Elephas maximus indicus: one gene and its partners. The protein of the gene in region 1 interacts with the protein of each later gene in a biochemical or structural test. Links are inferred from orthologs where the notes say so. Each region holds a gene or a part of one and is shown in the gene's direction. Other genes may lie near its edges. The genes, in order: PLCG1, FGFR2, KIT and GAB1.

Region 1 (7,344 bases):
ATTATTCCCTCCCAAAGTCATTACAAGGAACAGACAAATGAAGACTCTTTAGTGTTTGCTGTTTATCTGTTGAAAACATTCTCCACTAGTTCAACCAAATAAATGTCCATTCGAGAAACTGGTTTTATAACTTAACCGCAGGAAAATTTTTCTCCCCCAAGGAAGAGAAAACTTTTTGCCTTGGCTGCCAGGAAGCTCAAGCCACATCTGATTCTCACAGTAGTCATGTTAACCTATATGGTTATCTTCTTCCTTCTTACGATCTCATATCCAATTTCTGTACTGTAGTATTTTTGTCCTTTCTTTTAAATGCTCAACTTTTAAAGGGCTAGAAAATAATACATTTGTGGTGGGCATAGCAATGTACCACCCAGATCGCTGTTCAAGCAAGGACTTGTTGCCCCAACTGCTGGGAAAGCTGTCAGCAGATAACCTTTAGCTGTTAGCTCCTCTAAGATCACCTCAGCTGCAGAGAGCTGTCTTGCCAAGGTTGTGCTTTTCCCAGGATAGTCCACATCCAGTGACTGAGGCTGAGCTACATGAGTTGGAATCAACTCGACAACTACAACAATAAAGGCTCCCTGTGGGGTTGGCTCACTGTTGTCAGACTTACGTTACAGCTTAATTTCTCCCTCTGCCCACTCCTGTTTCCTTCCTCTCCCTTCCACAGTGTTGATCCCAAGGGCACTCTTTAATAAACATTTGGCACACTAACCTCTGTCATAGAGCCAGCTTCTAGAAGAACTCAACCTGCAGCAGCATTTAACAAAACTATAAATAGAAAACAGATCAGGTAGTGTTAGGGAAAGAAAGGAGGATACAATAAAATGTCCATATTACATGGGAGGCAACATAGCATTGACTAGAGCCAGAGTGCCTGGCTTTGAATTATTAGCTGTGTGACCTTGGGCATGTCTCTTAACCTCTCTGTGCCTCTGTGTTTTCTCGTTTGTGACACGGGGACATTAGTATTTAAAGGGTTGTAATGAGGAGTAAATAAACCAATGTGAGTAATGCAGTTATGTGGTGCTTGCTTTGCATCAAGTACTATTCGGAGTGTTAAGTAAAACAAATACCTGTGAGGCCAAGTTCACAAGACAGAAGGGCAGCTGGGCTAGGACTCCTCCCCAGACTCCGGACACAGACATTGGTGTAGGCAGGGCATGTTGAAGCATGAGTGTTCACAGAAATAGGACCAAGCAGGTCTAGCCTGGTGATGTCAGAGCCGTGTGCCTGTGTGGGTGCTGGGGCTGTTCCCTCCCAGCAGGCACAACTGCATATACTGCCAGTAACACCCACGCACCCATATATATATGCTGAGCTGGGAGAAGCCCATACCGGCCACGCCCTCTGCGCTGCGCCCTGCTTTTCCAGAACCTCCTTTGGTGGAGGGAGGCAGCTGAGTCCTGGGGTGCTGGCCCAGAAGTCCCAGGAGGAAATGAAATGGGGCCCTGGCAGCAGATCGAAAACATGATCTGTTGGCAGAGATTTGTGGAGCCCCCATGGGCCAAACTCCAGAGGCGAAAGCAAGAGCAGGGAAGCCTGGGTTTCACGTTTGGGAAGCTCCCAGAAAATAGAGAACCAGATATTTAAGGCATATCACAGCCCACAAGAACCCTGGTGGTGTAGTGGTTAAGAGCTCGGCTGCTGACCAAAAGGTCAGCAGTTCCAATCCACCAGCCGCTCCTTGGAAACCCTATGGGGAAGTTCTACTGTGTCCTACAGAGTCTCTATGAGTTGGAACCAACTCAACGGCACATAACAGCCCACAGGTTGCCCGAGTCAGCACAGGGGCCTCCTGGAAAAATGGACAAGAACTGGATAGGCATGGAGGAGCCCCATTTGGCTCCCACCTTTCTTCCTGGTCTCCTCATCCCCGACACTCTCCCTCATTCACTAGACTCTAGCCTTCTTTCTATTTTTAAACTCACCATGTTCTTTCTGGCCTCTGGGCCTTTGTACGTGCTGTTCCCTCTGTCTGGAAAACACTTTCCCCCAACACACCCTAATAATTCATCGGGCCATCAGCTCACGTCCTTTAGACTTCCACTGAGTCCTAAAGAGGTCTTCCCTATCTACTTGGTCTGAAGTAGGTCTCTTTAATGTTTTATTCCATAGTCTCCCGTCCTTTTCCTCTGTAGCCCTCATATATTGCCCTTATGTGATAAAGTATTCGTTTAATGTCTGAACTCCTGGAGGGCTGTTGTGGTTGAGTCCTTCCCCATCCGTCAGCTAGTGGCCTCAGTGCCTGGCACAGGAAAACTCAGGGACTGCATTCAGGGGCCCACCCAGTGCCGTCAAGTCGGCAGGACCTCATTAAGACCAAGCAAGCCAAGCCATACTCTGTGAGCACCCATGTTCTGTGGGGTACCCTGTGCTTAAGGCCGGTGTGGGCATGCCTCCTTACCCACACTGATTAGCCAGCTAGCCTCCATGCCCACTGACTACTAACCACCAGGGCCTAATTAAGCCAATGGCTCTCTTGGGAGGCAGAAAACGCATGGAATCAGGCAAACTTGGGTTCAAATGCAAAGTACCCCACTTGTTACATGGTTTTCTCTGGGCAAATTGCAGACCTTCTCTCAGTCTCCTTATCAGTAAAATGGGGACAAAAGTCCCCAGTTAGAGGGTAGTTGTGAGATTAGGTGTGACCACATGTGCAAGGCACTGGGTCAGCTTTAGTTCCCTGCCTTCCACTTTAAAGGCCCATAGCTAGGTGGCAGTCCATCTCAGCTGCCGCATCTCCCCTTAGGTGCTGAAGCTAGGTGAACCTATTAGGACAAAGCTTCCCAACTTCATGCTGGAATTCTGAGCTTCTTAGTGGCCGTGCTCGAGGGAATTAAACACACACTACTGCAAAAGAGTTACTGTTTCTGCAAGACCTGGCAGCCCAGACCTACCCAGCTCAGCTATTGGAGTACGACTGTGGATTGCCTGAGCACACAACCTCACATACTCACAAATTGCAGTATAGGTTTATAGTCTCACAAATTCCAGGTAACCTGGATCTCTCTCTGGCATCAGCTGTGTATGCTGGGCCTCACACTCTGAAGTGCAGTAAGTTGACCTGCTCTGCCCGGCTGCTGACCATCTGCCTCGCTCAATATCTGTATGAGAGACTCTACTGTGACCGTATGTGTCCTCAGTTCTGGTGGCATTCTGTGACAGTGGCAGCTAAAGTGCAGAGAAGGAGGTGGTGGTCTCGGGAACAGCTTTAGGAAGACAGTGTGAGTTCTTCAAATAATCACAAAAAGCACTGTGGCTGGAGAATGGAGAGTGAAAAGGGACGGTGAGACAAAGTGGGGACAGATCATAGGAGACATTCCAGGCCAAGTAGGGGGTGTGGATTTTAAGTCCAATGGGAAATCCAGGGGTTTTAGGTCAGATATAGAGGAGGATGATATAACTTAAAGATTAATCTATGGAGAATAGAGGCAGAGGGCAAGAGTAGAAGCATGCAAGATCAATGGGTAAAATAGGAGAGAAAGATGGTGGCTTGGGCTTGTGGGTGGAGTGGAGAGAAATCTGAGGGAAGAGCGAACAGGACTTGCTGATGGATTGATGTGGGGTTGACACAGAAGGAGGGATCAAGGATGTCACCAAGGTTTTGGCCAAAGCAACTCAGAAGAGTTTACTGCCATTTTCTGAGAAAGTGACCACTGTGGAAGAGCAATTTGGAAGGTGAGGTGCCTGTGTTGAGAGATGTGGGGCAGGCAGTGGGATGCTTGGCCCTGGAGAGCAGCAGAGATACAGATTTGATGTCACGGTGTCTGGGTGGTGGTTGGAGCCCTGGGAAAAGTCAGGTACCTTGGGAACTGACTCAGACTTGAGCCTACAGAAAGAGAAGCTTCTGAGGCCAACAGGGAGCAGCTAGAGAGGGAGGTGGAAAACGAGTAGAGTCCGGCGGGAAGGCCAGAGCTCAGGCAGGACCTGGGCCCTCGCCCTGACTCTGACCGGGGACCTGTCCCGCTGGGACGGAGCGGGGGGTAGGACGAGCTGTAGTCGTTGAGGGACAGACGCAGGCCTCTGGACAGTGCGGCCGCGGGACCACAGGCCCTGCCGGGGATGCTAGGCCCGGGGGACTTGTCCAAATGGGGGTACCCTTGAGCGCCACACTGGCCGCAGGGGCGGGACAGATGTGGGACTGCCGGTCTTAACAGCGGCCTGCGGACCAGCCCCGCGCGGACAGAGGGGAGGGGGCGGGACATGCCTGCTGTCCATCAGTGCCTGCCGGCCAATCTGCAGGCGGCTCCGCCCCGCCCCCCCGGGAGGGCGCGCGGAGAACCCGCCTCCGCCGCCGTCGCCGCCGCCGCCGCCGCCGCCGCCGCCGCCGCCGCCGCGGGTGTAAGGCGGCCCGGCTTGGCCTGGCTCCCTCCGCCGGGCAGCCCGCCCAGGTAACTGGGCTAGGCCGGGCGGGCCGGGGGGCGCTCGACATCCCCACAGCTCTAACGCGGCGTCGCGCGGGCGGTGCTTGGGGCGCGGGGGTGGGGCGCGGGGCTGAGGAAAGGGCTGCGGTTGGGCCTGTGCGGGACAGCGGGCTGGGCGGCCTCCCGCGCGGGTGCGACTGACGGCCGGCGCGGGGCCTGCAGCCTGTGGGCGGGGCCGCCAGCGTGCCGGGGCCGGCCGCGGCGGGCAGGCTGTGTCCGGCGCCGCGCGGGGCGCTCTGCGGGGCCGAGGAGCCGGCGGACTGACGGGGGGCGGCGCGCGCCCCCGCGGCCCTCGAGCCCCGCCCCCGCCTGGGGCCTGCCCGGGGGTCGCGGGGCGCAGGCGCGGCGGGCGGGGGTCCTCCCCACGGGCGCGCGGGCGCCTTTGTTCCCGGCGCGCGGGCGGGGCGGGGCCTGCACGAGCCGCCCCGCCCCGCCTCAGGCCCCGCCCCGCCTCCGGCCCCGCCCCCGTCTCCGCCCGCAGGAGCCTCGGGTCCCGCTCGCCGGCCGCCTCAGCCGCCTCGGCCGCCGCCACCTCCGGCTCCGGGCCGCCGGGCCTGCGCCGCCGCCGCCGCCGCCCCCAGAGCCGGAGCCATGGCCGGCGTCGCGTCCCCCTGCGCCAATGGCTGCGGGCCCGGCGCGCCCTCGGACGCCGAGGTGCTGCACCTCTGCCGCAGCCTCGAGGTGGGCACCGTCATGACTTTGTTCTACTCCAAGAAGTCGCAGCGGCCGGAGCGGAAGACTTTCCAGGTCAAGCTGGAGACGCGGCAGATCACGTGGAGCCGCGGCGCGGACAAGATCGAGGGGGCCAGTAAGTGCGCCCCCTCCCCGGCCCGGCGCGCGCGGGGTGGCCAGGTCCGGCCCGGCCCCGCGCGCCCCGACGCAGCTCGCGGGACTCGGGCAAACTTTCGGGCCTTCCTCCAGCCCCCGCCCCGCCCCCGCCCCCGCCGCGTCTCCGGTGGTCACCGGGGGCGGGGGGCATCCGGGCCTCGGTCACCTGACAGGACACCCCCTCCCCCAGCTGGGGGGAGTGTTCCAGGCTCTTTGCCCGGAGGCCTAAAAATCCTAGCGAGTCGCAGCCCAGCGGCGCAGGCAGCGGGCCCCCCAGCCCAGGGGGGCGGTGTTGGCGCAGCGAGGGGCGGCAAGGCGGCGTCCCCCACCCCGCGGAAAACCTGGGACCCGAGCAGACGGTCACCGCCCACCACTCTCTCCAGAAAGAGCGGGCTTTAGGAAACTCTCTGGGCCCTCTGGCTGGGCTCTTGTTTGAAAGAGGCACCGTGGGGTTCCTTAAGTAGAACTTCTGCAGATGTTGGGGTCGGCCTGGTTGGGGGGCAGAGCCAGGCCTACTCATCACCCTCTTGGGAAGAGGGAGGAAGGTGGTCTTGTTTGGTTTGAAAACGCCTGAGAGAAGTCCGTGGCCGCTCTTTTCTGCTGGTTCTTTTGTCCTGAAGCTGAGTTTTGGAGGCTTGTGTGGGTCAGTAGAACCCACTGCCAGGACACAGACTTTTGGTAAAGGGGCCAGTTTCCCTTGCCCTTGGGAGCACGTTCCCTGAGTGCAGTGGTGTCAGGTACTCATCTCAGTAGTGCTCAGCCAGGTTGGGAACTAGCCCTTTGTGTCACTCATCCTGTGTCCGGTGGAAGCAGGGAACGGGGAAGGGCTACTCTTGGTTTCCTGCCTCTTTGCCATCCTTAAACCTGGGCTTGGCTCCTTTTCATCAGGTCTCTGGTGAGAGGAGGGAGGTGGGGGATTTCGAGAAACCCCACATCTTTCAGAGTGTTACCCCACTTAACGGGTGCCCGTGCACACTCAGCTCAGCCCTCCATTCCCCCGCCTCCAAGTGTGAAGAGATGATGTGTCTACAACTGTAGACCGTGGGTTGCTTCCTGCCAGGACCCCCCAGAGGCTGTTGTTGGAGAGATCGGGGCTCAAAACTAAGTCCGGGTGGAGGAAGGGGTCAGGAAGTGACACCCCCAAGGGAGGCCCTGATAGATCTTCTGAGTATGGTGTACATGCGTTTAGATGTTTTAGGAGATTGGGAGGAAGGAAAGTGTGGTGACGGAGCCAACCTCAACTAAAAACTCCAGATCTGACATAGCCGTTTGAACTAAGAAGTGGTGGCCTCTTCCCTTATGCCTCCATCTGCCCTGTCAGCCATTGGGAACTCTTTTTTTTTTTTTTTTTTTTTAATGATTTGGAAGACTAGATTCCAAAGTGGAGGAAGGACAGACACAGCAAAGAACAGGGATAGCCCTGGGAACATCCCTCAGGCATCAGACTCCATGCTTCTGTGATGTTCCCTGTGCTGTGTTGAATTGGTGGCACTGGCTGGAGGTTCCCAGGTAGAGATCTCCTGGGTAACAGGCTGCATTTTAAACCATACGAGTGACCAGCGGGCAGTTAAATGTAGCAGAGTGATTGCAATGCCCGGTTTGAAGCTCAAAGCTAGTTTTGCGTTCCCCTGCCAGTTACCTTCTCTGAGCCTTAGTTTCCTCATCTGTAAAAAGGGAGATAGCAATATGTCCATCGTATATGGTTTCTCTGGAATTAAATGAGATAATTGATTTAAAACATCTAGCACAGTGCCTGACACATTGTAACTGTAGTAAATGTGAGTTGTTACTAATAACAATAACAATAATAGTCTACACTGTCCTCCCAGGTTCTGGGAGGTAGAGTATGGATGCAAGAGAGCCTGAGGGTGCAGGAAGGGAGGATGGGGGACCAAGTTCACATTTCCCCTAAATCGCTACCCTGAAAAACGGAGGAAATGACTTTGTTTTGCCCCAACCCACCCACCCACTCACCTACTACAAAGAACAGTGTTTCTGTAGGAAAGTATTTGGAGTTTTGCACATCTGACTACTGGGTGTGACTTTCTTGTTTGTAAATTGGGGCCCAAACAGAAAGCAGGGGTGTGGA
Region 2 (7,410 bases), on another chromosome or scaffold:
AGGGACTGCCGCTGGGAAGGGCAACAGAGGGAACCGAGGAGCACTGCAATGCTTTCCATTTCAACAGCCATTTGTAGGACTCAGATGGCCTGCCCAGGACATGTTTCATCATTTCATCACAGTTGAGTCTTGGGTAGGCACCGCCAGGCCTTTTGATGGGGGAGCTGTGGAATTTAGCAGCCAAAATGACTCAAGGCTATGTTAAACCCAAGCCCGTATTAATACTCAGGTATTGTGGTGCTAAGGAGCCCTGGTGGCATGGTGGTTAAAGCGCTTGGCTGCTAACTGAAAAGTCAGAGGTTCGCACCCAACAGTTACTCCGCGGGAGTAAAATGCGGCAGTCTGCTTCTGTAAAGGTTACAGCCTTGGAAACCCTACGTGGCAGCTCTACTCTGTCCTGTAGGGTTGCCATGAGTCGGAATCAACTTGACGGCAATTTTTTTTTTTCTAGATTGTGGCTCTACAGGTTAAGCTATTTCCTTTAACCCTCCCAATAGTCCTAGGAGGGTTCTCCACGAGTCAGAACTGACTGGCAGGCACACGGTGACAACAATAACAATAATCATAAGTAACGCTTACATAGCTAGCAATTCCCATGTGCCAGGCACTGTTCTGCTTGTCACCTCCTAAGGCATTTAATCCTTTTAGTAATCCTATGTCATTTACCAGGATCCCTGGTGGCGCAGTGGTTAGGCACTCGGCTGCTAACTGAAAGGTCCGCCATTCGAACCCATCAACCACTCTGTGGAGGAAAGATGTGGCAGTCTGTTTAAACAAAGGTTTACAGCCTTAGAAACACTATGGGGCAGTTCTACTCTGCCCTGCAGGGTCACTATGACCTCAAATTGACGGAACAGCAATGGGTTTTTAATGCAATTTATCAGTATCAGTTGCTGGGGAGTCAGTTCCAATGTGTGGCTACCCCTTGTGTGTCAGAGTAGAACTGTGCTCCGTAGGGTTTTCAATAGCTGTGACCTTTCAGAAGAAGAGTGCCAGGCCTTTCTTCTGAAGTGCCTCTGGGCAGACTTGAACCTTCGGCCTTTCCGTTAGCAGCAGAGCAATCACATTGACCGTGTGCACCACCCAGGTTGATCCCCCTGTGAGATAGCTGCCATTCTTTTGATCAATTTACAGACAAGAAAACAGAAGACTCAGAGATCGTAACTTGCCCAAAGTCACACAGCTATTGAGTGACCAGATCCACAACTTGACTGTGGAATCAAAGCCTTGTATCCCCTCAATTTAGGGTAGCAATGCTCCCTCACCTGAAGGTGAGGAGATACTTCCAGAAGGACTTTCTCTCCAGGTAAGTCTCAGCTTTGAAATTCAGGCCCAATTCTAAGTTCAGAATCATTGGTGAGGTTCAGTGGTGGATCCATGATTTTGCTTCCGTTAAATGCCACAGGCTCCCTGAAAATGGGTGCTTGCTGTCTGGGGATTCGGCCTCTCCCCTCACCTCCAGGAGTAAGTACTCTTAGCATGGTCCTTAGACTATTCAGTACTCATTCCTACTGCTTTGTCTACGCTATGCACATTATTGACCTTTTCCTGACCTAACTTTTCTGTAGGGCGAAGGAACAGCCACCCATCCAAAAAACATATTATGAAAAGAAAAATCCCAAATCTTTGAAGAAGAAAGGCCTGTGGCAGTGAAGGTCTCCACCCCTTCCTCTTTTCTCTTCCCATAACCAACGGGCTTGAAGCACAATTTGTTTCTAGAAACTTCTGGGGCATCGGAGTTCTAGTGTCCTCATTTTTCTTCCTTCCCATTGATGTATCATTACTAGAGTAAAAAAAAGAAGGGCGTCTCGAGGGCTTTTTGGGGGGGAAAAAAAAAGAGTGCCTACTGAAGACATTTTGTAAAGGGGGGAAAATTGGGAAGAAAAGAAGCCTCAGTAGGGGGTGGAGGGCAGTGAATGTGGCCTTGTCTGATGGTTCTTTCAGCTGAAACCTGGTGCTGGCGCTCCTTGTTCAGTTCAAACTGTCACCTTTAGTTCTTGATGGCTTTTCTGCCCTCGTCCCTGAACCTCAACAGATTGGGGCTTATTTACCTATTCACACTCCGCCGTGGTAGCTCATTAATAGGCTTATTAGCAACACCATTCATGGGAGGCCATTGACAAAAGGGGCTCCAGCCACTCAAGAGGGAAGAGAAAAAACTGTAAAGAGATTATTTTCTCATTCAGAAGCCTCGCTGGTGTGAAAGCTTTCCTAGACCCTCTGAGGTCACTTGAAGTCTAAATTTGATGACAGAATTGATTAAAAAAAAAAAATAGTAATAAAACATTCCAAACATGCTTCTACTTTTCTCAAAACTGAAGCGTTTGCTGCAGTGGGCTTGTGGCTTCACTCACTTAAAAAGGAGCACTCTTGAGGGAATAAGGGGCTTTTGATGGATGGGTGTCTTTTCATCCCTATGAAGAATAAATTCTGGAAACTGCGTCTGGATGTTAAAGAAGGTGTTCTTATTTGTTATTTTCAGCGGAAGGCTTCCTTCCCATTCAGAGAACATAAAGCTATTGATGAATGAGAGATACGGACTTGGGTTTCCTGCACCATTAATTTATGTGAGAATGTGTGAACAGCATTTTCGGTGGCTGATGGATACCGTACAGGATGAGACAGGAATCTGCCCTGAGACACTCGGGTTTCCCGTTGGTGGGGAACATAAAGATGTAAGTGACGACCTCCCAGCAGACTGACATTCAGAGGTGACCCTAGGTCTGAGAGCTTGAAAACATTTTGGTATGGACAGAACAACCTAGATGGGAATGAGTGGCTGAGGGACACCTGGCTGAGGCGTCATTGAATTCAAAGATTCAGGGACTGATCCAGGTTAGAGGACTTGATTAAAAGCATATCCGTCTGGGGCAGTTCTACTCTGTCCTATAGGGTCGCTATGAGTCGGAATCGACTCGACAGCAGCGGGTTTTTTGTTTCCTCCCTCTCAGCAATGGGCTGATAATTCCGTCTGAGACTCAGACTCTAGTTTTTGCTGCCAAATTTCCAAAGTATAATTTCAGAGCTGTTTGCCTCAATCAGTGGTTAAGAGCTCTGCCTGCTAACCAAAAAGTCGGCAGTTCGAATCTACCAGTCACTCCTTGGATACCCTACAGGGCAGTTCTACTCTACAGGGTTGCTATGAGTTGGAATCGCCTCACATGGCCATGGGTTTAGTTTTTGGTTTTGCCTGAATCATTTAATGGATTTGCACTCTTTCCTGGCTTTTAAGTAATTTGTATGAAAGGTTTCTACGATGTATTGCAAATAAAAAAAGATTTCCTAATAAGGTGGCACCTTGGAAAAATATTTTCATAAATGTTGCAAAGAATACAGTGTTCAGGAACTACGTGCAACTCTGTTTCTAAATGCAGGCAAAGTCGGTTTTCCGGGTCAGCGTGGCACTCACTGCTCCGTTTGTCTGTCTTTAGGCCTCAGAAGCCTTCTTAAGTCACTTCTTGGTTTAACGACCTTTCCTAAAGAAAGATAATTAAGGTTTTTTTATCTGTATTGCCTTGAACTTAGGCAGACTGCCTAGGAGCTGGCTAAGTGAGGAGGGAGAGAAAGTACAGTAAAAAAGAAATGAGCCTGTGGACACAGCTTAGTGAAAAAGGTAGAGTGGAAATAGGAACTTGAAAGCGTATCAGATACAACTCCCTGGTTTTGCAGTCAGAGAATCTAAGATCCACAGAAAAGAACTGATTTTCTGAAGGTCCAAAAGCTATTTGTGGCAGAGTTGACTTTTTAGAATTTTAAAAATGTTTTAGTAACCCAAATATACATTACAAAACAATTTGTTGTTGTCGCAGTTTTTCACTTTTTTAAAAAGGGCCACGTTCAAAGTCAGCTCTGCCTGGAACCAGCTGTGTGACCCTGGGCAAATTACTTAACCTCTCTGATGTTCAGTTTCCTTTCCAGAAATTGGGAATATTGCTCTGCAGAGGGGTTGTGCCGATTAAACAGAATAACTTATTCAGAACTCCTGGCACATGGTGGGGCCTCCATAAAATATTAGGTTTTCCCCCTCACTTCTATGGTATTGAAGGCCAGGGGAAAAAAAAAAAGCAACCCCCTACAAAATTTCCAAGTTGTCTCACCTTCTTCAAAAGTTTCATTTGCATTAAATTTCTCCTCCCAATAGCACGCCTACGCATTTCAAAGTTCCTTTAAGGGTAGAGCAGGTAATCTGTGATTTGTTTTCTGACTTGAAACAAAACAACGTCACCCAGGCACCTAGTAAAACGTTGGTCAGTTGACCTCCCAAGGGAAGGGAAGGAGGCGGTGGCGCAGGTTGGGGGAGACCGGCCTTGTTACTGGAGGATAGAGTTGCATCTCCCCGTCCAGATCGCGCCCGGGCCCCTTGCCTGCCCGGCCGGGGTCTCCCGGCCGCTCCAAGGCGTCGGGGGCCGCTCAGGGCTCGGCGCGGCCCCAGTGCGCCGCGCTGATTGGCAGAGCTGGCGCCGCCGTCCAGGAAACGGCTCGGGTTTCAGCGGGGGCGTGACCCGCCGGAGGAGGCGGTGGCGCGGGCGGCGGCGGCGGCGGTGGAGAGCGCAGAGCGCCGCGGAGAGCTGAGCGGCGGCGGGTGCGGAGCGCGGAGCGGGCGGCGGCCGCACAAAGCTCGGGGCCGCGGGGCTGCATGCGGCGGACCCGGCCTGGCGCCGCAACTCCTCTCCAGGCCGGCGGGGCCCGGAGGCCGCAGCTCCCGTGCGCGCTCTCCCCTCTCGCAAGTGGCGAGCAAAGTTTGGTGGCGGAGACGCCGAGCCGGAGTCCTTTCTTCCTCTCGCTCCCCAAACCCGAGCGCAGCCGCGGGCGTCATGCCCGCGCTACTCCGCAGCCCCGGGTGCGCGTGAAGCCCAAGCCCCTGCACTGCCAAGGATCCAAGGACGACACTCGGCTGGAGTTTCCACCGAGGGACCCCCGAGCTCGGCGCTCCCTCCATCCCGACCCACGCCGGCCGCGGGGACAGGACCGATCGCGGAGCCGCGTTGCCATTCAAGGTAATCGCTGAGCGGGACAGAGCGGGACGCCTCGCCAGCGGGACAGGGGCGTCGTGGGGGCCCGGGACGCCGGGCCACTGACCTCTGGGGGAAGGCGCGGGAGAATGCCACTGGGAAGAGGGCCCCTGGCCTCCCTCTTGCTGCTTAGGTGATGGGGAAGGTGGGTGCGTGCTCGCGGCTGGCGTTTGGGAAGTCCTGCCTCCACCACCCCCGTCCAGATGCTCACATCTGCTTCTTGGGTTGACACCCCTTCTCCGTCAAATTCCGCTGGCTCAGCCCACCGTTCCTCCGACCCCTGAGCGGGTGGGCGGCGGGGCTGGTTGCTGGTGGCACAGCCCCGCAGGCGGGGCGCCCTGCGGGGCACCTTTGGGGTGCTTCATCCCTGGGCCTGGGGAGCGCCCGTCCCATTCCATCTAAGCTCCGTCGGTGGACCCTTACCCGGGAGGGAGCCGCTGGGGTGGGACCGCCGACATCCCGGTTGCCATCCCCTAGTGATGGCGATGCCGGGTGGGGGGCATCTTTGGGGAGGAGCACTGTTCGGGTTCCCAGATTTCGTAGTACGCGGCCGCCGCCGGCGCTGGAGCCCGGGCAGGCGGCGAGGGCTGGAGGGAGCGCGGCGCCCGGGGCTAGGGGGCGGGCTGCACCGACTTTTCCCGGCTCGCCCGCCCTGCAGCCGCTCGCAGATGTCGAAAGCGCCGGCGAGTTCTGACTTGCGCGCTCATTCTTCCAGAGGCGGGGCTCGCTGGGGAGCCGGCCGCGGGCTCTGCGAGGCGCCGGCCCGACCACTGCGGCCCGCGGGGCCGAGCGCAGGCTGCGCTCTGCGGAACGGAGCCGGCCCGGGCGGACAAGCCACCGCGCGCCGCGCAGACTGCCCGCTCGCAAACTCCTCCAGCCCATCCTTCTTGCCCGATTCAATGAACCTACTCTTCCCGGCGAACCTGCTTTCAAACTCGGGGCACCCATTATGTGTTTGGTGTGAAATGCTATCAACATTTAAAACCCCATTGTCCCCCTGGTCCCAAATCCCTGTAAATCTTCCACCGGTCTCGACTCATTTTCATCTGAAAAGCCTGTTTAGTTTGAATAGAAAAGCAATCAGGCGCCCCTCTCCCAGGAATGTCAATTAAAATGCAGATTTTTTCAGCTTTTTAGCGCGGAGGACTGGGAAGAAAAACGGGATATTCTAGCAAATTGATGAAAGAAATGCTACCATGAAGTGGGGTGGTGATGGTGAGGAGTACCCCCAAACTGCCCTCAAGATCTCGGTGGCTTGCAAGTGTTCACAGGGCGGGGACTGTTGTCCTGGGTCCACCCGTATTTATTTTTTGCGATTTCAGTGTGTTGAGGAATTTCCCCCCCGGACTTGACACCTTGGCTCCTGCCCTACTCAGCTCTGGGGTGTAGGGGGAGCAGTAAGGAGGCTTTGAGCCGGGAGGTGCGTGTGCCCCTTGGGGCAGCGGGGCATCCCCAACCTGGTGGAGCAGTGTCGACTTTCTAGATGTGAAATCTACCCAGGAGCCAAGCACCCAAGAGCCCAGTGTGGGTGACCAGCAGTGGACAGAAGGGCCAGTCCACTAAGCCGGGCCCTGGCATTGGCCGTCCTTCTTGGAGGGCAGGGGTTTGGGACTGTTGTGGGAAGTTTGGGAGCTGAGCGCTGGCCTGGGGACTACTCCCGTGGTTCCTTTCTCCCCAGTGGTCTCTTTGCCTGTCTTTGGGGCCGGCTCGTGCTGAGGGGAGAATCGACCGGGAGAGCGGGTGGCCGCGAAGACCCATCCGTCAGAGGGAGAGTGACAACTCCTCCCGCGTGCAGGCTGAGAAGACAGTTCCCTTTCAAGGGGAAAAATAAACACGCCGGGGCTTTCACTGGGGCTCAGGCTCCAGGAAGGATTATGGTATTGTAGGCAGGAAACTGGATTGTGGCCGCCAGCGGCATGCTGGGCCTGTGTTCCCAACTCCGAGCTCGGGACCTAATTATCCCGCGTAGGGGGCCGCTCTGTATTTTTGTCCACTCGGGTGCGGAGCTGCTCGGACCTGCCGCCCCAGGCCGCCACTTTGTCGGGATTTGGGGAGGGGCTCCTGTGGGGCCTGGACCTGGAACTGCGGAAGTGCAGGGTTCTGGTGGAAACATGGGCTGAGTGAATGGCTTTAGGTTTGGTGGAGGGCACTGCCAACCTTTCCCTGCCCAGAGCTAAGGAGACTTCTCGGAGGGAGGGGCAGATGGGCAAGGCGGCTGGGGGAGCAACCGGAGCGCGGGCTCCTGTTAGGAGTCAAGAGTGTGGACAAACTTGTGTGAGAGGCAGAACATTCCCATGCGTTCTGGACTTGCTTAGTAAATCATTGAGTGTTTGTGTGCCTGCCTCCCACGTGCATGTAGGAATAGATGCAGAGTTATCTTTGGAGGCCTTAACTTTAA
Region 3 (7,942 bases), on another chromosome or scaffold:
GAATTATAATCCATCCATACAATTGAACATGATACTGCCATTAAAATTGTTTTCCAAATTTTTTTAATAATTTGGGCAATGCTTATGTGATGTTTAGTGAAAAAGCCAGATAGAAAACTAGCGAATATAGTAAAATCTTAAATTATGTAAAGAAAAAAAAAGGTCATATATAAGCAAAGAAAAAAGATTAGAAACATACCAAAATGAACTCTTCAGTGATTATTATCTTAGGCAATTTTTGGTTTTTTGTTCTTTATAATTTCTGGCACTTTTCAAATTTTCTACAACAAGCATTTTTACTTTTACAATAAGAAACATAACATTTACATTTTTCAAGTTAGAAATTATAGTGAACATGTTCTGTTGCCCAGCATCATTCCTCCTTCTTCTGGCGAGAGTACTTCACTCTTTCTTGGAGGACACACCTTTCCCCATTCTTAGAGTGAGTGGTATGGATGAAGTAGAGCTCTGTCTTAGTTATCTAGTGCTGCTATAACAAAAATACCACAAGTGGATGGCTTTAACAGTTTATTTCCTCACAGTAAAGTACGCTAAAAGTCCAAATTTAGGGTGTCAGCTCTAGAGGAGGCCTTTCTTCCTCTGTCGGCCTTCTCATCAGTCTTCCCTTTGACTAGGAGCTTCTCCATGCAGGGACCCTGGGTCCGAAGGACGCGATCTACTCCCAGTACTGCTTTCTTGATGGTATGAGGTCCCCCTGGCTCTCTGTGCACTTCTCTCTTTTATATCTCAAGAGATTGCCTCAAGACACAATGCAATCTTGCAGATTGAGTCCTGCCTCACTGACACAACTGCCGGCCATCCTCCCTCATTAACATCACAGAGGCAGGATTTACAACATATAGGAAAATCACACAATACCGGGAATCATGGTCCAACCAAACTGATACACACATTTTTTGGGGGACATAATTCAATCCACAATAACCCCCAACATTTCCGGGGTAGACATGTGACCCAAGCCTGGCCAAGCATTATATCTTGTCCCTCTGGCCTCCTTGACTGGTTTTCAATGTGCATGTGACTTAAACCAGGCCAGCAAGACCCAGTTTTAGTGCTTTTATAAACCTTTGCAGTGAGTAGATTCTGACTCACAGCAACCTTATAGGACAGAGTAGAACTGCTGCATAAGGTTTCCAAGGAGCAGCTGGTGGACTCGACCTGCTGACCTCTTGGTTAGCAGCCATAGCTCTTAACCACTGTGCCACCAGGGCTCTAGAGTTTTTATAGGAACTGTTGATGGGGCAGAGAAGTTCTGCTTCCACTGGTATTAGAGCTGAAACCTAGAGCTGCCCGAGTGCACAAGAGACAATTAAACAACAAAGAAAGTATTGTTGAAAGATGGAGAAATGTATGTATGTGTCTGTACACACACACACACCACCCTCAAGTCCTGCCGACTCTGAGTTCCTGGATCTAGGAATGTCTAGAACTAGCACTGTTCCTGGACTGTCCAGTTATAAGAGCCAGTAGATTTTAGGGTTCTTTGTTTGCTTATGCCAGCTAGAGCTGGGTTTCTACAAGTTGTAATCAAATGTCCTCATTGACACAATTATGAAAACTATAAAATACATCCTATATAAGATACAGAATATTTGCATCATCACAAATGGTCCACTGAACAGTGCTGATCTATAGTATAGTTCAACCCCATAGCTGTTCACTCGCTGTAGTTATACATGTCTGATTTCAGTACACAGCTAACAAACCCAAAGGCCCAGGTACTGGAGGTTGTCTGCTGTGCCCTGCACAAAGCCTAGATCTAAGGAGATTGAGGGCATCTCAGGGGAGAGGTAGGGGTGAAGGGACACTTAGGAAGTGCTTAAGGCAGTGGCTTTTTTCCAATCAGTACAGAAGGATTTCAATATTCTACTAACCAATATGGCTAAATTGATGTGTAACGGCTGAGTAAGAGCCCTGTTAGCAGATATTATAGTTTCTTATTTGGATGTTTGTTTTTCCTGCTGGACTGTGAATTCCTCTAAGTAGGGATTTTGTCTTACTCATTTTTGGAGGCCTAGTGCCTACTGGGAAACCCTGGTGGCATATAGGTTAAAAGATACACCTGCTAACCACAAGGTCAGCAGTTCAAATCCACCAGGTGCTCCTTGGAAACTCTATGGGGCAGTTCTGACTCGATGGCAACAGGTTTTCAGTAAATGTTTGTTAAATAAATGAATACAGATGACATTCTAGCATTATATAATCCCCTTATTCCGATTTTTTTTTTCCCCCTGATGGAAGTTTCCTTCCTAGAATTAAATTGCAATATGGTCTCTTTTTACCCACTCTTCTGAAGACTTGTACTCTCCAATATCAGTTGATTGAAGAAAAAAATTATAAATTTTCTCTCTCAGGCACAATGTTGATATTTTAACTCATAGTAATTTTTTTTCTCTTACAAAATGGATTTGAGTAATAAATCAAGATCCTGGAAATTTATGATTGCCTCAAGTGATATCTTTGATCTGTCATCTTAAGAAAAAAGTATGGTCTGATGGGCCAGAGCACAAACAGAGACCTTCTGAGTTTCAGTTCTCCCACAGCTGTGTGACTTAAACCATTTGCTAGGAGACTGGGATGTGGGTTCCCACATATAATGATAATGACTGTGAGGGCAGGCCCACATCTGGCTATTAACTATTGTACTCCTGCTACCTTGAAGGAGCCCTGGTGGCAAAGTGGCTAAGAACTCAGCTGCTAACTAGAAAGTGGGTGGTTAGAACCCACCTGCCACATTGTAGGAGAAGGATGTGGCAGTCTGTTTCCTTAAAGATTTACAGCCTTGGAAACCCTATGGGGGCAGTTCTGTTCTGTCCTATATGGTCGCATGAGTTGGCGATTGGTTTTGTTTTTTTTGGACTCCTGGTACCTAGCTTCTCCCTGCCTCACAGGTGTTTTTGTTAGGTGCTATCTAGTTGATTTCAACTCATAGCAGTCCCATGTGACAGAGTACAACTGTCCCATAGGGTTTCCGAGGCTGTAATCTTTATGGAAGCAGATCGCCAGGTCTTTCTCCCCTAGAGCTGCTGGGTGGGTTCAAACTGCCGACCTTTGGGTTAGCAGCCACGTGCTTAACTTTTGTTTCACGGTTGTTTTTGTTGTGTGTTGTAGAATCGACTATGACTCATAGAGACCCTATATGACAGAAAACTGCCCCATAGGATTTTCTAGACCCTCAACAAAATGCATTGACACAGTGGCTGTAGCAATGGGCTCAAACATAGCAAGGTTTGTGAGTTATGGCGCAGGACTGGGCAGCGTTTAGTTCTGTTGTACATAGAGTCACTATGAGTCGGAACTGACTCGAAGGTGCCTAACGACAACAGCAACAATCTTTATGGGAGCAGATCGCCAGGTCTTTTTTCCTTCAGAGCTGCTGGTAGGTTCAAATCGCTATTAGGTTAGCAGCCCAGATCTTAACCACTGCTTTGCAGTGGACAACAATAAATGTTTGTTGAATGAATACATAAATAAATTTAAAGAGAAGCAATTATACATATTGATCATTTGATCATCCTCTAGTAGTGATAATTTTTAAGTGATTAATTTAAGCCAATTTAGGTTATGTCAGCATCAAACAGGAGAGCTTTCAACATTAAATGAAGTGGGGATCTGGGCAATTATAAATTTTGGATGATACTTTAGAGAGGAGTCTAGGTGTACCTACATTGTTCTATAGCTTTTTTCTGATGGGCACTTCCCATTTATTTTCCATTCTTAAGCTCTGGGGAAAGTGGGGGGAGGATGTTTGTCTAGTTCATCAGAAGGCATAGGGAAAGCTCATCGTAACCTGGAGTCAGTTTTAAGATTAGGGTTCCAATCCTGGTCTCCCCTTTATTAGCTGTGTGATCTAAGGCGACTTTTAGAAATAAAATAATAAAGATATCTGCTCTAGCTACCTTATAAAGTTGTTATTGTGAGCATGAAGTAATATTCAGCATGGGGAAGAATTATAAAACTCTATACAGATATTGTTGTTACATTTCATTCAGGGGCGCCACCATAAGCAGGTGGGCGAAGCACTTTCTATGCAAAGGGACCTGGGTTAAAAGTATCATTTTACTATCATTTTGAGCCTGGCACGGGCTGGAGCAGCTAAGAAGAACGCAGGGATCCTCAGCCCTGTAACTGTCGTGATACAGACGCAGAGAAACTGCATAGAAAAAAAAAAAAAAAAAAAGGCACCCAAAAGGCTTTGCACAAGGATTGGTGCAAGTGGGTTTAAAAAATCAGGTTACCTGAGCAAACTTCGCAAGGCGCCCTTCCCCACTCCAAGGCCGCAGTCTTCAGAAAAGTCTGAGCAGGGGGTTGTTGGGTGGAGGCTACGCCGACCAATAGGGAACCAACTATGCTCTTACAGGTAACGGAGCAGGTGGAGAAACTGAGCATAATTACCTAAACTCCCTTTTAGCCTTTTACCGCGACGCCAGGCGCCACGCTAGGTCCCACTTGTCTAACAGGAATGGGGAACAATGTCGGGGTCCAATTTACTAACCACCCCGCTCCCGTCCCGGAACCACTTCCACCACCAGAAGTGTCCACGCCCTCCCTCATGAGTATGCACGAAGGCTGGCGGCCAACCTTTATTGTTTGGGGAACACCTGGCAGGTGGTGAGCCCTTGCCCTAAAGTGCGCTGGTGTTCGGCTTCACAAAACGCACACCCTCGTCCAGGAACTGCCTCCCGAGCCTCTACCACATTACAGAGGAGGAGAGGTGGAGAGATGTAGGGCTCGGGGGTCGAGACCCTGGCTGCGAGGGCCGGAGTGCCCTCCCCCGCCCCTTGGACACAGCCCCCAGGGATTAGCCAGTCGAAAGAGGTTGGGGCCAGCGACGCTAGAAGGGAGCGCAACCCATGCGGGCGGGAGGAGGGGAGGCGAGGAGGGGCGTGGCCGGCTCGCAGGGGGAGGGCACTGGGAGGAGGGGCTGCTTCTCCGCGCTCAGGCTCTGGGGGCTCGGCTTTGCCGCGCTGAATGCACTTGGGCAAGAGCAGGAACGTGGAACAGAGCTCAGGTTCCAGCGCAACCACCGCGATGAGAGGCGCTCGCGGCGCCTGGGATTTTCTCTGCGTCCTGCTTCTCCTGCTCCGCGTCCAGACAGGTGGGAGAGCACGGCGGACACCCCGGACCGCGCCCCCCAGGGCAGCCTATGCCCGACGAAGGGCTGAACATACTGGGGTGTGTCGGGAGAGGTGGCTGTTGGCCTTTCAGGTGCCAGGCGTTTTAGCCTGCGGGAAGATTCGAGGCGTCCCCGGGGACTCTCCTGCGCCCTGCCTTGCTCACCTGCGCAAGAAGCCCCCAGTCCCTGGTGCTGGGGCCACTGAGCTGGGAACCAGAAATGAGGGCAGCGAGGGGGCTGAGGGTGAGCGAGGTTGCAGGCTGAGGGCAGCCGAACTGCATGCGAGTTTGGGATTTCTTTTGTGCCGAGGGTTCGCGGGTGGTAGAGGCGGGCGGTCAGGGGTTCGCACCGAGCGCGTTATCTCTACCGTGCGAGGTGCGGCCACAGCTTCCTTTTGTTAAAAGTTGCGTGCGTGTGACCGGTACCCCAGAGGGCCGGCCGGCAGGTTCTCAGCCTTGCGTAGGGTAAAGTTCGAAAGCCTTTTTTTGCTCTGTGGCTGCTGCTTTCCAACCACGGGCGCTCTTTGTGCCTGCCCAGAGATAGGAACCAACGCGCTACCGCCTCTACTAGCGGCGAGACCGGTGGAGACGAGTCGGAGGCGGCTGTGCTTCCCGGCTCCCTGGTTATGCTTTTGCAAGCGAGGCGCGCGGCGTGCGGCCGTGGGGCCGGACCCAGGGTGCGTGGAGGTGGCGACGACAGGGTCAACTTGGGCAGGGCGTATAGCAAGCAGCCGCTAGGTTGCAGACTTTTTGCTTTTGTAAATCCCGTGCCGGAGGCTCTCCCCTTTTTGCCGCGATGCCGTTTCATCCTTCCACGCGCGCCGGAGCGGCTGGAGGCTGCGTTTGCCGCCGGCTCCCGGGGAGACAGGGACAGCGCGCTGGGGCACTGCGATCCACGACCCCAGTAGCCGCGCGCGCCCAAGGCAGTGTCCCAACAGGCTGGCGGGGCCCTGGAAGCCCCTCGTCTCGGCGACCTGTGATCGCAGCTCCCAGTTTTCTTCGGGAATTTTGAGATTCGCTGCACCCCTTCCCACGTAGTATTAATACTTCAGAGCAGCCTGAGGTGGGGGGTGGGAGATGGAGTGGAACTTTCTGCAAATTCTCCTTGGTTCTTAAAGCTGTTATGGAAATCCAGTTATATCCGCGCGGGAACTTGGGTCTTAAGGTGGGGAAGGATTTGCAGATTCCTGGACCGCTTCCTGACTCCTTTTTTTCTGGGTGTCGCTGGTACACGCGGCCCTTGCGGGTCGCCTGGGTAACCCCCTGAAGCCCTTTTCTCCCTCAGGTCATTTTTTTTTTTTTTTAAATCATTTAAGATTACCCTGATGATGTAAGGATAGAAAGTGAGTCTGAACTGGAATACAAGGGCTCCAGAGAAAGCATCGCAATGAACTATGGTGGGCTCTGTCGACTACCGGTCGTTTCTCCATAAAGTCTCAAGACGCAGCTTCCCCCTCCCGGTCCGAAAGGCATTGTGAAGGCTTTCCTGTCGGGGAGGAGAGGCCTTCCATCTGGACCCCTGTGAAGTAGGAGGGATCATGAGTCAGGGTTCCAATGCCTTGGAATTGACTGCCTAGCTAAAACGACGTATGCGGTTGTTACGTTCTTGTGTCTTATTTTATTTTTTGATTTCAGATAGGGTATGTGAACTAGACCCGAGTACGGTTCCAAGAAAGACAGGCCTCATTAAACATTTCCCTTTTTTTTTTAATTAAATGAATCGATTGTTTCCTTCTTCCCCATAATTCTCCCGCTTCATCCAGCAGATGTTTGGCAAAGGGAATTTTAAAGTCTGTGTCTCCTGGGGAGCACTGTGGTGTAGTGACAAAGCCTTGGACTTCCAATCTGGTTCGTTTTCTCTGCCATTCATTGGCTGTGTGCCCTTGGGCAGGATGCTGAAATTCTTGGGGATCCCAGTTTCCTCTGAAAGTATAATGAGGCATCCGCCTCATGAAGGTTCCTTTGAGTCCAAAATTCTCCTCCAGAGTTCTGATAGTCAACTGAGCATCTTTCTCAACTCTCTCACTGACCCCTTCCAGCTGTCTGGAAATTTCTTTGCTGCTTCTGGTCACTAGGGCCGCTTGGTGTGACCTACCTGTCTGCCCTTATAGTTTACGCTACCCACTCCTCTGCTGCCCTACAGTTTGCCTCTGACAGCTAGGAGAGGTGCCAACTCTCTAATGCCACCCCCTCCCTCCTCTAGTATTTACAGCTCCTATGTCAGGCAGGATGAACCTGGAAGGAATAGTGAATCATACCATCCCCTTGTTCCTGCAGGTGTGAAGCCAGAGTCATCGCCAGCAGCTGGACACAGGGCATGCTGGATTATTATCCTGCTGAAAATAATATGACAGTTTTATGGAGCGATCCCAGATAACTCATTTAATCCCATTCTCCTTCCTACCCATCCACTCATTTTTTCCTATGACTTTATAAATCATATATACTGGGCTTCTACAAAGCACGTTTTCTAATGTGCCCTAAATTTCATATTACATAAACTTGCTGCCCTTGAGTCGGTTCTGGCTTATAGCGACCCTATAGGACAGAGTAGAACTGCCCCGTAGGGTTTCCAAGGGACAGCTGGTGAATTTGAACTGCCAACCTTTAACCAGCCACCAAGCTCTTAACCACCGTGCATGTGTGTTATAAAATAGTTGTTGCTCTTTGATTAGAAAATGTGTGCCAGGCACTGTGCTGGGAGCTTTGCCTGTCATTTCCAATCCTCTCAGCAAGTCCAGGAGGCAGTACTATTACACCCCCAGCACCTACAGCTGAAGAAACTGGCTCAGGACAAAACACTTGC
Region 4 (7,810 bases), on another chromosome or scaffold:
CTGGAGCTGACACCCTGAATGAATTTGGACTTTAGCCTAGTTTACTGTGAGAAAATAAACTTCTCTTCGTTAAAGCCATCCACTTGTGGTATTTCTGTTATAGCAGCACTAGATGACTAAGACAAAGAGATAATCTAAAAATGGCAAATAATGTAAAAATAATGAACATTTCTAAAATACGTACATGGATACATATCTTCAGCCCTTATTTGTTCTGTAGAAATATCAGCTTAGAACATCACAGTAAAAGATAGGGGAAAAATGTTTAAAGATTTCTTATACGGAAATGAGTTAATTGACTACTTATTTGAAATAAGGGAAAAAAATATTGGAATAGCCAAATGCTAAACAGTGGACCCACCCACTGCTGTTGAGTTGATTCCGACTCATAGCGGCCCTATAGGACAGAGCAGAACCGCCCCATAGAGTTTCCAAGGAGTGCCTGGTGGATTAAAACTGCCAACCTTTTGGTTAACAGCTGCAGTTCTTAACCACTATGCCACCAGGGTTTCCCAAACAGTGGAAGACATACTAAAATTTTCTTATTAAAAAGAACTTGATAACAGGGAGTAGCAAATTTGCTAAAGCCAACAGTTATGACTCAATGACAGATTAGCCTTAGAATGTAATTCGTAAATACTTTTGACTCAGTGTATATACACACTGCCTATGGAGAAGTGAAAAACAAATGCAATGATTTATTTTTGTTTGGAGGACTTGTGGCAAGATCTGTACTCATTTACTTAAGAATGGCTTTGGCTCATTGGCTGCCATGGTGAAAACTACACCCACTTGTGTTCTAAAAAGCCTTAAGGTTTAAGAAAAGCAACAACAAACACTGAAGCCCTCTAACATCTATATATGTGCCAGGCATTTAATAGTCTATCATTGCTAATTTTCACAAAAATTCTGCAATATCAGTATTATTATTCCATTTCACATATTGGGAAACTGAAGCTCGGATACACCGTGTAATTTGCTCAAGGTCATGATTTGAAAAATCGATGACCTGAAAAATGAATCCAGATCTAAAAACCAAGCCCTTGTGATACTCAAAGTACCTGTCAAAAGATGAAGGGCTCAGACATGGATTGGACTGGACAATGGGTTGGAGAGGGATGCTGGTGAGGAGTGAGCTTCTTGGATCAGGTGGACACTTGAGACTATGTTGGCATCTCCTGCCTGGAGGGGAGATGAGAGGGTGGAGGGGGTTAGAAGCTGGCGAAATGGACATGAAAAGAGAGAGTGGAGGGAGAGAGCGGGCTGTCTTATTAGGGGGAGAGTAATCTGGAGTGGGTAGCAAGGTGTATATGGGTTTTTGTGTGAGAGACTGACTTGATTTGTAAACTATCACTTAAAGCACAATAAAAATTATATATAAAAAAAAAAAGATGAAGGGCTCTAAACCTCAATGGAACCAGACCTCTTCTGATTTTATTTTTTCTACATACTAAGCTCTTTATGTAAGCTGAAGATAGGTTTAGAATACCAGCTTTATTTTCCGATAATTTACTTACTAGGTTGCTAAATTAATTCTATTTTCATAGTATTTTTCTGATACGGGTTACAGTAATGGAGATATTAACTTAATGGAGAGTTACTGAATGATGAAGCCATTTACGCTTGTGTAATGGGGGTGTCATTTATCAGTGCCCCAGTTTAGGAGTCTGGGGCTTGCACAATTCAGCAGCCTCTCTGCTCTTTCTTCAGAGTCTTTCTTTGCCACACTTACAGGTGCCCAGGGGGCTCCATTTGGACTATGATGTAACCAGGAGTCCGTGGGTGGTGTAAACAGTTAATGTGTGTAGCTGTGACTGTAAACCAAAAGGCTGGTGGTTCCAGTCCATTCAGAGGTGCGAGAGAAGAAAAGCCTGGTGATCAGCGGTGTCGCTAGGGCTGGTGTCACCCAGTGCAGTAACTCAGGTATCACCCACCCCCCAGGGAGCTCCTCCTGTACCAGATCATACAGAAGCCTTAGTAATGTTTTTTGTACTAATGTTACTTATGAATCATAATTCTCATATATGACTCCTTTTCATTTAATTACTACTTCATTCTCAAAAAAGTTATTGATAGAGGTTCACAAACACTAATTACCACAATATTGTAGCTAAAACACCAGAAAATTTGGCAAAATCGGCGACTATAAAAACACTGGGAGCAACAAAAACAATATCGTGTGCTTGCTGCATGTGTAGATGAAACCAGCGTGATTTGCAGTGTCATTGCCATTGGCTAATAACGACAGCTCTGATGGGATCGCATTAGACTGTTCAAAAAATAAATTAGCATAGTTTTAGCCTCCTAGGTATATTAACACATGTAAGCTGGGCTTATGAAAAATGTTTCTGTTGTTGTAACTAATGAGATTTTTTATAGTCATTTTGGTGACATTCCCTCTGACAGTGTCACCTGGTGTGCCTCCTCCCCCATGCCTCTACATCTGAAAAAATTAGCCATGGAAAACTCTATGGAGCACAGTTCTGCTGCGTCACACAAGGAAGGGGTCGACATAAGTCAGAATCAATGCGCCGGCAACTGGTTTGGATTTTTTGGTTGTACGAAGTAATTCTTTGCTTATTCTTTCTCCAGTTCTCTCTATGGTTAACTCTTTTATCCTTCAATAAACCAATTCTGATTCTCCTCTTTCTTTAGAGCATCTTTCAAATCTCTGGCTAAATACCTCCTCAAGACCTAGTCCCACCTGTTATTCTTTACCTTGCTGTGTTTATTTCCTTCATAGCACATTTATCACAATCTGTACTTATGTTGACCTTTTATTTGTTTACTATCCTATACCACCCAGGGCTTCACTATTACCTTAAAGGAAAGGTTGGCAGCTCAAACCCGCTCAGAGGTGGTTCGAATCCACTCAGAAGCAGAAGCTCTCTAGTTTGAAAAGGTCACAGCCTTGAAAATTCTAAGGAGCACAGTCTTACTCTGCACACATGGGGTTGCCGTGAGTCCAAATCGACTTGACGGAAAATTACAACTACAGCCTTCTAAAATTTGTTTTGGGGCTTTATTTTTCGTAAATAAATTGGAAAATGTATTACATTACAGGATCATGTTACACTCAAGCCCAGGTAAAATAATTGTAAAACACACAAACAGGCAAGTAGAACAGAACATTCAGTAATTTTCCCTTTTCTAGCCAAACATACCGGGCAGGGGTTGATTTTAACCAAATACAAGTGGAAGAAGCTGACAACAAATGGGGTGAGCGAAGGACTTCAAATTCTTTGGCTCCATGAAGTGCTCCCACCACTTTCGCGGCGCCGCCAGGGACTCTCCCACCCCAGTCCTGGCGGTCCCCAGGACGCCATGCAGCCGTCCTAGACCCGGCTCTTCGGTCTCTCGCGGCGGGAACCCGCGGAGTCGCCGCCTCCCTACGACGCCGGGGTCTCTGTCTGGCCTCTTTGGCTTTGTGGACAGTCAAACACGGAAAACCCCGAAACTCCCGGTCTGGAGCACAGTACGCACTCGGAACTGACACCCGGGCTAGCTCAAGGTGGTAAGCCCGGCACTGAACATGTTAACGTTCCCCGCCCCTCCCCGCGCCCGAGCCCCGCCGGGGTTGCCCTCGCCCGGCCTCCGCCGCCTTCCCAGGCGAGGGGTACTCTGGGGGCTCCCACCGACACCATCGCCGGGCGGCCGAGATTCTGCTCTCGCGTTCCGAACTACAGATCCCAGGGTGCCTCTCGGACTCCGGCTCCCTCCCTCCTTAGTTCGCTCCCTCCCTCGTTCTCCTCCTCCTCCTCCTCCAGCCCTTGTTGTTTTGGCTGGAACGCTCCGGCCGAGTTTCAGAGAAAGTCTAGGCAGAAACCGGAGCCGGGCCCGAACTGGGAGGAGAAGGAGAAAAGGGAGGAACAGCAGCCCGGAGGCCAAGAGAGGGAGGGATCGGGCCGGGACCCGTGGCCGCTCAGAACCTGCCGCGCACCCCAGGGTGGGGGAGGTGGCGGGGGAGGAGCGTGAGGGGACGGGACAGTGGGATCCCTCCCCGCAGCCGGGCGCCTCATTCCTCCGCCGTTCCCCGCCCTCATCGGCGGCGGCGAGAACGGACCCACCCTCTGGCGGGACCTGCGCCCTCTCCGCGCCCGCACCTCGTCGACGCGCCGCGCATCGCCGCCGACTGGGCGGCTCCCTCCGCGTCCCGGGACCTTGCCTGCACCCGCTGCACGCGGGACCCTCTCAGCTTTCCCTTTCCTCCCGGCTTCCCGGGCGCCGCAGAGAAGCGAGCCGCCCTCCCTCGAGGAGGACGAAGGACTGGATTGCGCAGGGCTCACCGAAACCGAGAGCGGGCGAGCGGGAGTAGGCACCGCGCGGAGCATTGTGTGCGTGCAGCGGTGTCTGTTTCGGAAGGCTCTCTGGGGAGGTTCTGTCCCGAGGGGGCGGAGCGCAAGGCACCGAGGCGCTGGCTCCTTGTCCGGATAGAGTCCCGCGAAGACGCCGGCCCAGTTGAGCCTGAGCGCTGCTGAGGCGGCCGGTGGGACGGCGCGCCTGGTGGCGAGGCGGGCGCATTAAGGAGAGGCCGGGGCGCCCTCGGCCCCGCGGCAGCCGCTGCCCAGTGCGGTCGGCAGCGGCGGAGCATCCCGCTTCTGCTCACATCTGTGGAGCTGCCAGCGAGACGCTCGGACGCCGGGAGCCCCGCGCAAGAGCGGGCCGAGCGCGCGTTGGGAGCTCGCCTGTCCTGTCCGCGGAGGGTGCGCGGCCAGGAGAGCTAGGACCTCGCCGTTGTGCGCCCCGCAGGCGTCGGCTGTATCGGGAGCGCGCCTGCCCGCCCCTCAGCTGCCCCGCTCAGGGCCGGAGAGGTGTGCATCATGAGCGGTGGCGAAGTGGTCTGCTCGGGGTGGCTCCGCAAGTCCCCGCCGGAGAAAAAGTTGAAGCGTTATGTAAGTAGAGGCTCTGCCAGCGGCACCCGGTCCCGAGCTGGCTGGCGGCTGCAGCTGCTCGCGCGCGGGGCTTTTTAATCCGCATCTCTTTTACCCTCGGCCCCTTCTCCCATCAGGCTGGGGACCGGGTGCTGTACACTCACGCCCTGGCTTACACTTCACTTCGCCTGGCAACTTTCTTCCTCCAGATTCCGGACGGCCTGCATTTCGGGCCTTACCGCCCCATAGGAGGGCCCAGGGTTTCCAGATGAACTCCCGCTGCATGTTTTTACTATTGCTTCTAGCAGTTGTGGGGTGGGGTAAGGCGGGGAGAGGCGCATTCTCCTTTCTTTTTATCTTTCTGCACCTAATTATGGGGGTGGTGGCACTAGGAAAACCGTAGGGGCCGCCAGCCCTCTTTGGTCCACGCTCTTTCTTCACTTCCCTTGGAGGTGGGTTTCGGGGAAGGGACGGTGGAGCTAAGAAATTGGTATCGGAGACAAGCATCTCATGTCTGCGCAAAAAGAAAAAGTTCTTAACGCGCCCTACCGTTTGCTTAGCAGGGTTCACATTTTCGCGGTTTTGAATTGAGGGACATTGGAGTTTGGCCCGAGAGCCCTGGCGGTTTGCTGCGAGAGGAAGGCACTGGGGGGAGCCTGCTGGCTGGTGTTTGGGCGTCTTGAACGCGCTGTCAAGCCCCGCAGGAGGGGACAGCTGAAGCCAGAAGGAATTTCTGTGTGTTGCCAATCTTTCCCAGGGCACCAGCGTGGCTTAAATGGCATTTGTGTAATTGATACACGATGCTGTTGGAAAAAATATTCCTTGAAAGAACCAACTTTAGTGGAAATCTATGTCCTCTTCAGGCGTCTGAGATCTCCCCGCCCCCATTTTTTTTTTTTTTTTTTTTTTTTGTCGCTGCCTCCTGCAAAGGAAAGAGAGAACACTTTTATGCTGGCGTACGGAGCAAATACTTTTTCTAGTAAAATTTTAAAAAGCAGTATTTATGTTCACTCAAATATAAATTTTCTACCTGGGACTGACACTTGTGCTACTGGAACCTGTTTCTTGTTGGAGGATATCTCCATCCAGTATTAGAGCTGAAGTTAATCGTATTAGTCACTGTTTGCTTTCATGGAACAGACTGAAGTGCAATATTTAACTTCACTGACAGCTCACCAGTGAGTTTCTGGTTTACTTTTGCCAGAATTTGTTATAGACAAGTAATTCTCATTTCAGGGATCGATGCCATAAATCCTAAGAAAGTTCTCCAGAGATTTTGAATCCTTCCAAACTCTGTCACTCCACCTGTCAACTGTTTGTCTGCATATCCTGGTAGAGATACTAGCTTTATTCCAAAAATAAGGGGAGAGGCAGTGGTTTTTTCAGCTCTTGGTTCTAAAGGGATAGGTGTGTGTGAGAGGGGGGTGGGTAGGGAGCTGGAGGTATGTTAGTTTCGAGAAGACACAATTTAGGAAAGACATGCAGCTGTTGTTAGTTGCCACAGAGTTGATTCTGATCGTCATGACCCTGTGCTTGCAGAGTAGAACTGCTCCACGGGGGTTTCAGGGCTGTGACCTTTTGGAAGTAGATAGCCAGGCCTATCTTCCTAGGTGCCTTTGAGTGGGTTCCAACTGCCAACCTTTCCACTAGTAGTCTAGTGATTAGGTTCTTGGGGAACTAGGTATTGGTAATAGAGGTTTGTTTAATGCATTCTTTCACATGTTAGTTATGGCTTTTTCGAAAGACGCTAAGTACTCTATTAGGTACCATAAGGTTAGAAAATATAGGCGGGTGGGGGGAGTCCTGCCTCTTAGGCTTGCAATGTAATGTAGTATAAACCAGAAGGAAAATCAACCAAAAAGATTGTGTCTTAACAAGGACAAAAAAAAGGAGGTTCAAATGTGTGTGTGTATATATTTTATTTTTATTTTTTTCTTTTTTGACCCTTATTTTATGAGGTAGGTATTATCTCTGTTTCACAGGTGAGAAAACAATCTATCCAACCAGAACATGCCAGAGGCAGGATTTGAACCCAGGTCTACCTGACTCACTGAGCTGTAAAAGGTTAATGAGGCTCATCTAGTTCATTTCAAATACGGGGCTTGGACTAAATCATCCCTAAAGGTTCTTTCCGATTATAACTTTCTATGAGTCTGTGGATATTAGTTGAGAATGCCAGGAGGAAGTGGGCTGTAGAGCAGATGTGGTGTGCAAAAGAAATGTCAGACCTGGAGTTTGCCTTGAAGCAGCTTTTCGAGTCTTCAGGAAGACAGGCATATGTGAAAAATGAACCAATAGTGCAAAGTAGTTTATGATTATGTGCCCAGGTTGAGTGGTATGGATGCTTTGTAGATGTGTTTCAAGGAACAAGTTCAATGTAGTCTGGAACCATGGGAAGACTAGAGAGACAGTGGACTCATATTTGTGTTTTCCCTCAGCGGAGGGAAGAATATACCCCTAACAGCTGGGGAAAGGCTGTTTTTTTTTTTCTTGCCCAGTGGAGCACTAGTGTATTTTCTTTACGTAGTAGTGGAATGTGCTAAGATGGCCCAGGAAGACGGTGGGCAGGGTGGCTCTCAGCTGAGGTAGCTAAGAGGATGAGGCAGAGTGTTTAAGTGAGGCTTGTCTCATTTTTTAGCTGTGAAATTGGTTGCCCAGAAGATGTTGCCATTCCCAGATTATTGTTGATCTTTTGGCTTAGGTATCCAATTTTTTTTTATCCAATTTAGATTGTTTTTGCTAAAGCAGCTTTTGACCATTAATGATACCCAAAAACCAAAAAACCAAACCCAGTGCCGTTGATTATGTATATATGCATTGCCTATGCCTGTTCTCTTTTCACGTAGAATCTTTATTTTCTGGATGAAAGGAAACATTGTTGGCCACCCAGTGGGCAAAACGTTGCTTTATAATGGTTTTTAATGAATGGATTTGCTGTG

Evidence for each region.
Region 2: the proteins of PLCG1 (region 1) and FGFR2 form a complex in vitro, tested with the Homo sapiens proteins (2 studies listed by BioGRID and IntAct). The link is inferred for Elephas maximus indicus from reciprocal best matches to the Homo sapiens genes PLCG1 and FGFR2.
Region 3: the proteins of PLCG1 (region 1) and KIT form a complex in vitro, tested with the Homo sapiens proteins (3 studies listed by BioGRID and IntAct, with this or other methods). The link is inferred for Elephas maximus indicus from reciprocal best matches to the Homo sapiens genes PLCG1 and KIT.
Region 4: the proteins of PLCG1 (region 1) and GAB1 form a complex in vitro, tested with the Homo sapiens proteins (2 studies listed by BioGRID and IntAct, with this or other methods). The link is inferred for Elephas maximus indicus from reciprocal best matches to the Homo sapiens genes PLCG1 and GAB1.

What each region holds. Positions count from the first base shown.
Region 1 is NC_064843.1:28,313,586-28,320,929, reverse strand, and holds the start of PLCG1 (1-phosphatidylinositol 4,5-bisphosphate phosphodiesterase gamma-1), read left to right. Parts: upstream 1-4,334; 5' UTR 4,335-4,394; intron 4,395-4,908; 5' UTR 4,909-5,018; coding exon 5,019-5,235; intron 5,236-7,344. UniProt on the Homo sapiens protein: Mediates the production of the second messenger molecules diacylglycerol (DAG) and inositol 1,4,5-trisphosphate (IP3). Plays an important role in the regulation of intracellular signaling cascades.
Region 2 is NC_064834.1:71,983,100-71,990,509, reverse strand, and holds the start of FGFR2 (fibroblast growth factor receptor 2), read left to right. Parts: upstream 1-4,404; 5' UTR 4,405-4,997; intron 4,998-7,410. UniProt on the Homo sapiens protein: Tyrosine-protein kinase that acts as a cell-surface receptor for fibroblast growth factors and plays an essential role in the regulation of cell proliferation, differentiation, migration and apoptosis, and in the regulation of embryonic development.
Region 3 is NC_064823.1:106,781,823-106,789,764, reverse strand, and holds the start of KIT (mast/stem cell growth factor receptor Kit), read left to right. Parts: upstream 1-4,942; 5' UTR 4,943-4,992; coding exon 4,993-5,119; intron 5,120-7,942. UniProt on the Homo sapiens protein: Tyrosine-protein kinase that acts as a cell-surface receptor for the cytokine KITLG/SCF and plays an essential role in the regulation of cell survival and proliferation, hematopoiesis, stem cell maintenance, gametogenesis, mast cell development, migration and function, and in melanogenesis.
Region 4 is NC_064831.1:41,427,854-41,435,663, reverse strand, and holds the start of GAB1 (GRB2-associated-binding protein 1), read left to right. Parts: upstream 1-4,809; 5' UTR 4,810-4,820; coding exon 4,821-4,892; intron 4,893-7,810. UniProt on the Homo sapiens protein: Adapter protein that plays a role in intracellular signaling cascades triggered by activated receptor-type kinases. Plays a role in FGFR1 signaling. Probably involved in signaling by the epidermal growth factor receptor (EGFR) and the insulin receptor (INSR).